Pelodiscus sinensis: one gene and its partner. The protein of the gene in region 2 interacts with the protein of the main gene of each other region in a biochemical or structural test. Links are inferred from orthologs where the notes say so. Each region holds a gene or a part of one and is shown on either strand. Other genes may lie near its edges. The genes, in order: CHRD and BMP1.

Region 1 (5,900 bases), on a different chromosome or scaffold from region 2:
CCCCCCCGCAGGGCTCTGTACTGCCCCCTTCCCCCCCCGCAGGGCTCTGTACTGCCCCCTTCCCCCCCACAGGGCTCTGTACTGCCCCCTTCCCCCCCCACAGGGCTCTGTACTGCCCCCTCCCCCACAGGGCTCTGTACTGCCCCCTTCCCCCCCCCGCAGGGCTCTGTACTGCCCCCTTCCCCCCCCCGCAGGGCTCCGTACTGCCCCCCCCACAGGGCTCTGTACTGCCCCCTTCCCCCCCCACAGGGCTCTGTACTGCCCCCTCCCCCACAGGGCTCTGTACTGCCCCCTTCCCCCCCCACAGGGCTCCGTACTGCCCCCCCCCACAGGGCTCTGTACTGCCCCCTCCCCCACAGGGCTCTGTACTGCCCCCTTCCCCCCCGCAGGGCTCTGTACTGCCCCCCCCACAGGGCTCTGTACTGCCCCCTTCCCCCCCGCAGGGCTCTGTACTGCCCCCCCCCACAGGGCTCCGTACTGCCCCCCCCACAGGGCTCTGTACTGCCCCCTCCCCCCCCCACAGGGCTCTGTACTGCCCCCTTCCCCCCCCACAGGGCTCTGTACTGCCCCCTTCCCTCCCCAGGGCTCTGTACTGCCCCCTGAATGCCCGGGGGAGCCAAACACAGTGCCCACTGCCCACTGTGAAGTGCAGCAACCGAGTGGGCAGCCTCAGAGGTGCTCTAGGGGCAGGAGGGCCCCCACTTACCGGCTCACAGTAGCAGACCACACAGTGCATCACCCCAAAGGGCTCGCCCAGATCCGGGTGCCAGGTGTCTTCCAGGGCATAGAACCTGCCTCCGAACGAGCAGCCTGGAGATGGGGAACAAACTCCTGAGCGCACAGCCGGCAACCCAGCGCCCAGCTGTGACACCCTGCTACACCCAGCGCCCAGCCGTGCCACCCTGCCGCACCCAGCGCCGTGCCACCCTGCTGCACCCAGCGCCCAGCCGTGCCACCCTGCCACACCCAGCGCCCAGCCGTGCCACCCTGCCACACCCAGCGTCCAGCCGTGCCACCCTGCCGCACCCAGCACCCAGCCTGTGCCACCCTGCCGCACCCAGCGTCCAGCCGTGCCACCCTGCCGCACCCAGCGCCCAGCCGGGCCACCCTGCCGCACCCAGCGTCCAGCCTGTGCCACCCTGCCGCACCCAGCGCCCAGCCGTGCCACCCTGCCACACCCAGCGTCCAGCCTGTGCCACCCAGCCACACCCAGCGCCCAGCCTGTGCCACCCAGCCACACCCAGCATCCAGCCTGTGCCACCCAGCCACACCCAGCACCCAGCCGGGCCACCCTGCCGCACCCAGCGTCCAGCCGTGCCACCCTGCCGCACCCAGCGTCCAGCCTGTGCCACCCTGCCGCACCCAGCGCCCAGCCGTGCCACTCTGCCGCACCCAGCGCCCAGCCGTGCCACCCTGCCGCACCCAGCGTCCAGCCTGTGCCACCCTGCCGCACCCATTCTGTGCCACCCTGCTGCACCCAGTGACCAGCCATGCCACCCTGCCGTATCCAGCACCCAGCCTGTGCCACCCTGCCGCACCCAGTGCCCAGCCTGTGCCACCCTGCCACACCCAGCGCCCAGCCTGTGCCACCCCGTCGTACCCAGAGCCCAGCCTGTGCCACCCAGCCCCCAGCCGTGCCACCCTGCCGCACCCAGTGCCCAGCCATGCCACCCAGCGCCCAGCTGTGCCACCCTGCTGCACCCAGCGCCCAGCCGTGCCACCCTGCCGTACCCAGCACCCAGCCTGTGCCACCCTGCCGCACCCAGAGCCCAGCCTGTGCCACTCTCATTCCACCAGGTTTCAGTGATGCCTATAAAAGGCTATTAGCCAGGGGATAAAATGGTGTCCTTGGCCTCTGTTTGTCAGAGGCTGGAGAGGGATGGCAGGAGACAAATCGCTTGATCATTGTCTTCCGTCCATCCTCTCTGGGGTACCTGGTGGTGGCCACTGTCGGCAGACAGGATACTGGGCTAGATGGCCCTTTGGTCTGACCCAGTACGGCCGTTCTTATGTTCTCCCTGCCGCACCGTCCTGTGCCACCCTGCTGCACCCACATGTGACTTTGCGGCCCAGCACCCGGCCTTGTGCCACCCTGCTGCACCCAGACGGACTCCCCCCTCACATCCAGCCAATCCCCCTCTTCTGCTCTCCTGTGGCAGCCAGGGGCTGGCCTGGGCCCACTCACCCTGGGCCATCTCTGCCCGCCCGCTGCACCCAGGACACCTCACACAGCCCATGTCCATGCCATGGGGGCTTGCCGGCTGCCTCTGGCCCCTCGCGCAGGCCCTGGCACCCGCCTGCTGCCTCTGGCACGGGGCAGGGCTCTGCCCCCCTGCCCCAGCCCTGGCACGCGCCTGGCAGGGCTGGCGCGGGGCTGGGCCAGCGGGCAGGGCTGTGAGCTGCCGCGCTGGTGACACGCTGCCCGGCCCGGCCCCTCCCCGCCGCTGTCACGCGTCCAAGCCGAGCGCACGGGGGTGTCAGTGGATGCAGGCGAAGCAGATGGAGGCTGGAGCGCAGCTGGGCCAGGGAGGGCAGCAGGAGTCGCTCCGCGGGCCCCGCTCGCCCCAGCCTGGCCCCCGGCCGCCCCCGCCCCCCCGACCAGCCGCTGCCCCGCGCCGCCCGGGGGGCTCCCACCTGCCGCCCCATCCCCGCGCCCCGGGCCCCTACCTGCCGCCCCCTTGGAGGGGAGCGGGTCCTTCTCGGGCTGGATGGGCAGCAGCGGCTTGGGGCGGGAGGCGGCGGCCGGCGCGGGGCGGAGGGCGAGGGACAGCGCGGCCAGCAGCAGCGGCAGGCGGGCCATGGGCGCGCACGGCTGGGACCCCGCGGGCGGCGCGGGGCGAGTCAGGGCTCCCAGTGCCCCGGCCCCGGCCCCCGGCAGGTTTTATAGGCTCCGGCACGGGCCGCGCGGAGCGGGGGCATCCTGAGCAAACAAAGGCCCCGCTAACGAGGCGCAGGCAGCCGCCGGCCGGGGGATTAGGGCCCCCAGCGGGGGTCCCAGCGCCCGCGGCCCGGAGCCCAATGGGAAGCAGACGCGGGGCCGCGGGGGGCTTGTGGATTGGGCCCGCGGTGCGCGCAGCCCGCCCGGCCGATCCGCCCAATGGCAGCGGGCGGGGAGCCCGACGGGGGGAGCGGGACGGGACAGCCCGGCCCCGCGCACGCCCCGCTCCGCGGAGCTGCCTCTGCCCCGACTGACAGCCCCGGAGAACAGACGGAGGGGCCCCCGCCCTGTCCGCGGCAGGGAAGCCCGGGCCCCCGCACCTCCTGCTGCGCTGCCGGCCCCCTCTGTGCTGCCCGAGCCCCGCACCTCCCGCTAGAACCCCTCCGCACCCACCTCGCTGCCTAAAACCCCCGCATGCCTCTGCTTGAACCCCCTGCACCCCCTGTGCTGCCTGAAACCCCTGCACCCTCCTGCTTGAACCCCCTGCACCCACTGTGCTGCCTGTACCCCCTGCACCCTCCTGCTTGTACCCCCTGCACCCCCTGTGCTGCCTGAAACCTCTGCACCCCCTGCCTGTACCCTGTGTACCCGCTGTGCTGCCTGAAACCTCTGCACCCCCTGCCTGTACCCCATGCACCTACTGTACTGCCTGAAACCTCTGCACCCCCTGCCTGTACCCTGTGTACCCGCTGTGCTGCCTGAAACCCCTGCACCCCCCCTGCCTGTATCCCCTGCACCTTCCTGCCTGTACCCCCTGCACCTACCATGCTGCCTGAAACCCCTGCACCCTCCTGCCTGTACCCCCTGCACCCACTGTGCTGCCTGAAACCCCTGCACCCCCCTGCTTGTACCCCCTGCACCCGCTGTGCTGCCTGAAACCCCTGCACCCCCCTGCCTGTACCCCTTGCACCTACTGTGCTGCCTGAACCTCCTGCAGCCCCTGCCTGTACCCCCTGCACCTACTGTGCTGCCTGTACCCCCTGCACCCTCCTGCTTGTACCCCCCTGCACCTACCATGCTTCCTGAAACCCCTGCACCCTCCTGCCTGTACCCCCTGCACCCACTGTGCTGCCTGAAACCCCTGCACCCCCTGCCTGTACCCCCTGCACCCACTGTGCTGCCTGAAACCCCTGCACCCCCCTGCCTGTACCCCCTGCTCCCACTGTGCTGCCTGAAACCCCTGCACCCCCTGCCTGTACCCCCTGCACCCACTGTGCTGCCTGAAACCCCTGCAACCCCTGCCTGTACCCCCTGCACCCACTGTGCTGCCTGAAACCCCTGCACCCGCCGTGCTGCCTGAAACCCCTGCACCCTCCTGCCTGTACCCCCTGCACCCACTGTGCTGCCTGTACCCCCTGCACCCTCTTGCCTGTACCCCCTGCACCTGCCCTCCTGCCTGTACCCCCTGCACCCTCCTGCCTGTACCCCCTGCACCTGCCCTCCTGCCTGTACCCCCTGCACCCTCCTGCCTGTACCCTCTGCACCCGCTGTGCTGCCTGTACCCCTGCACCCTCCTGCCTGTACCCTCTGCACCTCCTGTGCTGCCTGAAACCCCTGCGGTCACTGTGCTGCCTGAAATCCCTGCACCCTCCTGCCTGTACCCCCTGCACCCGCTCTGCTGCCTGTACCCCCTGCACCCTCTTGCCTGTACCCCCTGCACCTGCCCTCCTGCCTGTACCCCCTGCACCCTCCTGCCTGTACCCTCTGCACCCGCTGTGCTGCCTGTACCCCTGCACCCTCCTGCCTGTACCCTCTGCACCTCCTGTGCTGCCTGAAACCCCTGCACCCTCCTGCCTGTACCCCCTGCACCCACCGTGCTGCCTGAAACCCCTGCACCCTCCTGCCTGTATCCTACTGTGGTGCCCGGAGCCCCGCACCTCCCGCCTATAACCCCTCCACACCCACCACGCTGCCTGAAACCCCCACGTGCCCCTGCCTGTACCCCCTGCACCCACTGTGCTGCCTGAAACCCCTGCACCCCCCTGCCTCTACCCCCCCTGCACCAACCATGCTACCTGAAACCCTGGCACCTTCCCGCCTGTACCCGTCCACCCACCCTGCTGCCTTAAATCCCTGAACCCTCCTGCCTGTAACCACTCCGCACACACCACACCACCTGAAACTCCTGCACCCTGTTGCCTGTACCCCCCGCATCCACAGTGCTGCCTGAAACCCCTGTACCCCTCTTGCCTGTATCCTCTGCATCCACCATGTTGCCTGAAACCCCTGTACCCCCATCTGTATCCCCTCGCACCCACCATGCTGCCCAGACCCCCGCACCGATCGCCTGTAACCCCTCTGCACCCACTGTGCTGCCTGAACCCCCCACACCCTCTTGCCTATATCCCCCGTCCCTCAGTGCACTACTGGACCCCACCCTGTTGCCTGGACCCCTGCAGCCCCCACCTGTATCTTCTGAACCCCACTGTGCTGCCTGAAACCCTCTCACCCCACCACCTGTATCCCCCTGCGCCCACCAGGGCGCCTGAAATCCCTGCATCCCTGCCTGTATCCACCTGCACCCACTGTACAGCCTGAAACCCCTTCCCCGCACCAGACTGCCCAGGCCCCCGTATCCCACCTGTATCCTCCACACCCCACCGTAGTGCCTGAAATCCCTGTAATCCTCTGCCTGTATCCCCCACCCTATTGTGTTGCCTGAATCTCCTGCCCTCTCACTGCACTGCCCAGACCCCCCCCATCCCAGTCAGTACCCCCTGCCCCTCATTGTGCTGCCCGGATCTCCTGCCCCCCACTGCACTGCCTGGATGCCCCCACCCTCTGCCTCTAACCTTTGCCCCATCACATTGCTGGACCCCTTGCCCCCCACCCATATCTCCTGCCCCCTCCACTGTGGTGCCTGGACCCCTCCACACCCTGCACTGTGCTTCCCGACCCCCTGCTGCCTGTACGCCCATGTCCTCCACAATGCTGCCCTGACCCCCCGCACCTTCCACTGTGC
Region 2 (5,900 bases):
CGCACAGGGCTTCCTTCTCGGAGCTGCCACCCCCAGAGTTGCAATCGTGGGGGTGTTTGCCAGGATCCCCACGCTGCAGGCAGAACTCACAGCACACACGGACTTGGAGGCAGCCATCGGCCCTGCAATCTACCCAGGGGCCCCTCGGCGCTGGGGAGTCTGAACTGCTAAGGCGGTAGCCACCGCGGCGGCCTTGGTTCAGAGCTGGGGAGGTTTATTTTGACAGCGGGGGAGGAGACGGCTGCAGGACGAGGAGAACCGCCCATTGCTTTCATCTAGGGAGTGGGCACCACTGTGATGTGGGCACTCGAATAACAGCGCGGGCAGGACCACAAGCCTGGATGCGTTGCTCAGGAAAACGCCTCTTGGCACGACAGCCGGGTCTGGGCCAGCACCGCCCTGGGTCGGGCGGAGGGGGAGAGAGGGCAAGGGGGAAGGTGGGAGCAGCAGGGAGTTACCCCTGGTGGGTAGGTGGCCGCGGGATACCCAGGGCATTGAGCTGTGCAGTGAAACCCAAGCCCCGTTCTTGGCTATTCCCTCTGCCCCTCCTCCATGTGGAACTTAAGGGAGCCACGGAATAAATCCACTGTGCCAAGGAGTCAGCTGTTTCCGGCTGCTCTTAAAGTCCTAGAAAACTTATTGCAGCTGGTGCCTTGAAAACACACACACACACACACACACACACACACACACGCACGCACACACACACTCTCTCTCTCTCTCTCTCTCTCTCTTCCCCCCCCCCTTTCCCCAGAGCTTTGTGGGAGATGTAGTTGGCCAGGCCAGTCTTAGCAGAACAACTCCACGTAGGAACGGTTTCCCCGTCCGGTAAGAAGCGACAGCCCTGCCCTGATCCCGAGTTACGCCCAAAGCTCATCAGGCGATGAGGATCTTCAGGACACGGCCGGTGCTCGTGCCTATCCAACGGACCCCGATCCAGACTGGGGACTCCTATCACGGCCGCCATACATTTGAATGAGCCACATATGGATCCAATCAAGGTGGGGGGCAGGGCTCCAGTGTGCCACTCCGCGTGTCTCAGACACACAATGGACCAGCAAGCACAGTCCCAGGGAACTCCCCGGGAACCTCCCTTTGTCCATCCTGACCACCACTAAATTAATCCACAATTAAAGTCCCTTCCCCCTCCCACAGAAACGCAAGGTGAAGAAGTGGAGGCTGAAGAGAGCAGATTTAGATGGACAAGGCACAAAGATCCAAAGCACAAGATTAGGCTCTCCCAAGACCTGATCTGCTGTGTCACTTTGGGCAACTCACGGCCGCTCTCTGGGCCTCAGTTTCCCCTCCCAGCACTCTTGTCTTGATTGCAGGCTCTTTAGGGGCAGAGAGTGTCTCTCATGAAATACAGCACCTGGCACAACAGAGCCTTGATTTCCGGGGGGAGGGGAGGCGGTAGATGCTGCTAGTTTTAATACCAGCCCCTGGAACGGCTTGCTCACGGAGGATAACAAGCATCACTCGGATACAATCAGAAGATGCTTTGTACCATCCTGGTGGCACAAACACAAGTCCAGGTCCCACTCCTGCAATCTCAGCGGCCCAGCCGGGCCCCCAGCACTTGTGCGGGTTCCCTTGCACCTTTAGATTTTAAACTCCCACGCTGGCCATTAGCAACGCATCCTGCTGGACTGATTAATCCATTTACTTTTCCGGCCCTTTTCTCAGCATCAGCTCTTTGCAAAAGTGTCCCCATTTCACATATGGGGAAACTGAGGCACAGAGCAGTGATGTGACTTGCCCACGGACACCCAAGTGTCTCCCCAAGGCGCTGATCACATAACGTGCAATAATCACTAACGGAGATGCACACCCCAAATCCCTCTTTGTAAATCTTACCCACCCCCCCACAAAAAAAAATTCCCACTGTTGCTTGCAGCGGTGTATTCAGCTGCGGGGAGGGAGGAAAAACAACAAAACTTTTGCAAACTCTTTAGGCCCCGATTCTCCTCTCGCTTATGGCCCGATCCTGCCCCGCTGAGCTCTGGAGCAGAAGCCCTCCCCTTCACCCCGGAGTGAGACCGCTGGGTCTGTCGTGCCGGGGCCGCGGGGGGGTTACACGGGCTCCATTGGGGCGGGAAGTGTTCGCCTGCTGCTTTGACAGCTCCGGCTGGGGGCGAGCCGAGCCCGTTCGAGCCCCGTCCGCCCTTCCACGTCCGAAGTCTAAACAGAGGGATGGACCCCCCCCCCCCCGTAATCTCGTGGCAACTTCCTTCCCCGTCTCCCTCGCAGGCGGTACGCCCCCCCCCAACCCCCCCCCAGGTAGACAACCCCCCCCCCCCAGAAACCCACAACTCCGGGCGGAGGGGGGGGCAACCCTCCTGGGGGGGGGCTGGAAAAGTTTCTTGCAACACAAAGGGGGGGGCCCACAACCCCGGCCACACACGGCGCCTCCCTTTTGTCTGCCCCGCCGGCCCGGCAGCCTGACCCGGGCTCCCCCGGCCCCTGCCCTGCAGCGGCTCCCGGCCGGCGGCTGCCAGCGCCCCGCGGCCCTACCCGCTTTGCACGGATCCTTGTAGTCGATGGGCTCCGCGTCCTCCTCCTCCTCCAGCCCCTCGGGGTAGTCGGGGAAGTCCAGGGCCGGCCCCAGCACGGCGAAGGAGAGCAGCAGCCAGCCCGCCCGGAGACCGGACATGCTGGCGGGCGGGCGAGCCCGGGAGCGCAGGGCGAAGCGGCGCGGGCAGGCGGGGGCCGCGGAGCAGTGGCAGGAGACCGGAGGGCTCCCCCCCCCCCTCTTTTTTTTTTAGGGAAATGGGAGCTGGCGGGGGCGGGTTCAGGCCGGGAGCTCGGCCCCTCCAGCCGGCAGCACGCAGCCCTGCTGGGCACCGGGCCAGCGGGGTGGGGGAGACGCGGCTGCCGGGGCGGCTTAGCAGCGCCGCGGCCCCCCTGGGGCGGGCAGCCCCCGCCGGGCTCCCTGCTGCCTGCCCGCAGCGCCCCGTGGCGGGGGCAGGTTCCTGCGGGGGGGGGGGGGGGGGCTGCAAACCCGGGGCTCCCTGCAGCGAAGCCGGGAGAAAGGGGCAGCCCCGGCGGGCGGGGCTCCCAGCTGCCCCAGGGCAACTCGGAAATCCTGCCCCCTCCCTCGTGGCCCTTGCTCTGTGCAATGGGGGAGGGGAAGATCTTTACCCTCCCCCCCCCCCCCGCTGGTCCATGGGATGCCATAGACCCCAACCCGCTCCGGCTTGGGAAGGCCACTGGGGAGGGACCAGCCTCCTGGGTGAGCGTGCACCCCCAGACAGGCCTAGGGCCAGCCACCCCCAGGATGTGAGCACCCCAGGGCTCCCGGCCTCTGGCTGCATGTGCTAGGCTGCTGGTGGAGAGAGAGGCCAGTCCCGGGGGGCTGGAGTCTCCCTGGCTTTGCACAGGTGTTAAGGGCTCCGGCCCCCCGTGCTGGGGTAGGGAACCTCGCTGTCCCTAGTGTCAGAGGAACCGCCCGGGGTGGGGCTGTGCCCCAGTGATGTCCCCCTGCCGTCCGGAATCTCGCCTCCCTCCCAAGTCCCATGGGAGGGGCTGAACCTGTCTCACCCCAGGCCCTGGCCTTGGACCAGTGAGTTCATGAGAGTCTGAGGGGGCCGGGGTGAACCTGGGGCCAGGAGCGGCTGGGGGCGGAGCCCTTGTGCAACGCTTACCCCGCCTCTCGTTTTCTAGCAGCCCTTCTCCACCGTGAATTCATGCGGGTGGGATGTGCTGGCCTGGCAGCCTGCAGAGGGAGGCCCTGTCTCATTCCAGGGCAGAGACGGGGGTCCGCATCCCGTATGCATGCGCTGGGCCCCCCAGTGCGCTCAGCAGCCTACTCGCTCCTGGACCTGTCTGCGGATGCTGTCCAGTGGGACTGCAGCAGGGTGTTACCTGCCCCCCAGGAACCCACCTGCACATCCCAGCACGAGCCCTGTATCTGTGCAACAGGTGTCTGCACACCGGACTGATGCACCAGGCCAGACTCTGCCTGCTGCTGAGCCCCCCAGTTCAGCCAGGCTGAGGGCCGGGAAGCGACCCCCGAGTGAGGAGCGCAGCCATGGGGCGGGCACCTCAGCTGTGCAAAAGGGCCATGCTGGGAGCTGATCGGTGGAAGGATGGAGCCAGGCCCTGGCACCCGCCCCAGCAGGGAGCCCTCAGCGGCCTTCCCACGTGGAACTGTGCAAAGAGCCCCAGCTACTAGGTCTGTGGCTGACACCTACAGGTCACGTCGTGTCACTTCAGGCCTGGCCCGTGGTGGGCGGCTGCTGCCTGGCTTGCACAAGGACCCCGAGACCCCGTTTGGTCAGGAGCCCACCCAGCCTGTGCGCTTCTTAGCCACTGAGCAGGCTGCTTGCAAACAGGCGGCCCAAGGAAGGGGAGAGCCGAGCTCCCTGCCCCCGACTTGGCTGGGGGTTGGCTCTTTGCAGGTGGCACCAATCTGCAGCGAGTTTGTGCTTGTAAGTTATTTCCCCCTCAAGGGCAGTTATGGCCCCCGGCAGCACATCTCCTGCTGCCACCAGCCCCTCCCCTTCCTGCCCTAGGGCCTCCCTTGGCTGCAGGCTGGGGCTGGCAAGCAGGGCCCTGTCTCTCACAGCCCCAGAAACGGTTAGTGGCTCTGCAGGCACTTTGGGAACCTTTCCCGTGGTCATGTGAGTGGGGGTAGGCCACACGTGGCAGCCTCTTCCCAGCAGCCCTGGGTGCCACGCCCTTGCTATGGTACATGGGGGCAGGTGTTGGCTGGGAGCAGCTGGGTGGGGGCTGTGCTCACTTGTCAAGGTGTGTGGGAGGATACGGAGCGTTCCCGTGTCCTGTTTGTGCGTGCACAGTGTCTGCCTCTGCAGTCATTGGTGGCCCTGGGTGCCTCTCCTTACAGAGCACAGGGGGCAGAGATGGCAGAGGAGACTCAGGCAGTGGGGTTCCTGCCACATGCTCCTCTTGGGACTAGACCTCTGCCTGCACCAAACGCTCACCGCCAATGTTCCCGCTAATGTTTTCCATCCATGTGCGGCATAAACTTTGCATGTGCACCACGGCATGTGGGAATGTGCACCACCACCAGGAACAACCAGCCTACACGTGGGCACTCTGCTCAGGAGCTGGGTGGCGTTTGAATCTCTCCTGAGCGGGCGTACAGGCACCCCCAGCTGACAGGGAACGCTGATCGCCTGCCCATAGAGCAGTGGGTGGGAGAGGGATGCCTCTCCCCCTCATAACGATGCTGACTTGTTCCCTGTCTTCCTTTAGTCTCTACACTCGCTTCTGCCCTCCCCTCCGCGGGACAGAACACAGTGTCTCCCGTCCCATGCCAAGCCCAGCTCAGAGCCAAGACTTGCAGTGGCTCCTGGGAGGTCTGGCTCCAGCCGTGAACTCAGGCAGCACTGGTGGGGCTAGCTCAGCCACATGAGGGATGGCTGCAAGGCCATGGGTTGGCCAAGGTTGGCCACTGGCCAGCAGTGGGATCCGCCCAAGGTGTCGCCACTAGGTAGCGCTCCAGGCTCACTATTGTCTGTCAATGGCCGTGCTCGTGCAAGGCTGAATTGTTGCTCATTCGTATCACAATAGTGCCCAGGAGCCTCCGGATCTAGGCCCCCCGTGGTGCTCAGCGCTGTGCAAATGGAACAAAGGGATGGTCCCTGCTTGTGCGGCTGCTCAGGAGAGAGTCCAGTGCACTCCCAGATGGGTTTCTTGTTTGTACAGGTGGTGCACGCTTGCACATACATCAGTGCACATAAAATTTATTCCACGCACAGATGGAAAAGCTTAGAGGGAACATTGGTCTCTGCCCCCAAAGAGCTTACAAAACCCACACAAACCCCTTAAAATCAAAGGGCATGATGTGCATCCCCATGTTTTGATGGGGTGGAATAGCCCATCCTCTGTCTTTCTAAGGACCACTCCGATATGCCGTACAAACTCCACAGCCCACC

The links.
Region 1: of the proteins of BMP1 (region 2) and CHRD, one has a biochemical effect on the other in vitro, tested with the Homo sapiens proteins (3 studies listed by BioGRID and IntAct). The link is inferred for Pelodiscus sinensis from reciprocal best matches to the Homo sapiens genes BMP1 and CHRD.

What each region holds. Positions count from the first base shown.
Region 1 is NC_134720.1:48,396,023-48,401,922, reverse strand, and holds the start of CHRD (chordin), read right to left. Parts: upstream 3,113-5,900; 5' UTR 2,801-3,112; coding exon 2,668-2,800; intron 811-2,667; coding exon 707-810; intron 1-706. UniProt on the Homo sapiens protein: Dorsalizing factor. Key developmental protein that dorsalizes early vertebrate embryonic tissues by binding to ventralizing TGF-beta family bone morphogenetic proteins (BMPs) and sequestering them in latent complexes.
Region 2 is NC_134738.1:11,541,774-11,547,673, forward strand, and holds the start of BMP1 (bone morphogenetic protein 1), read right to left. Parts: upstream 2,951-5,900; 5' UTR 2,654-2,950; coding exon 2,515-2,653; intron 1-2,514. UniProt on the Homo sapiens protein: Metalloprotease that plays key roles in regulating the formation of the extracellular matrix (ECM) via processing of various precursor proteins into mature functional enzymes or structural proteins.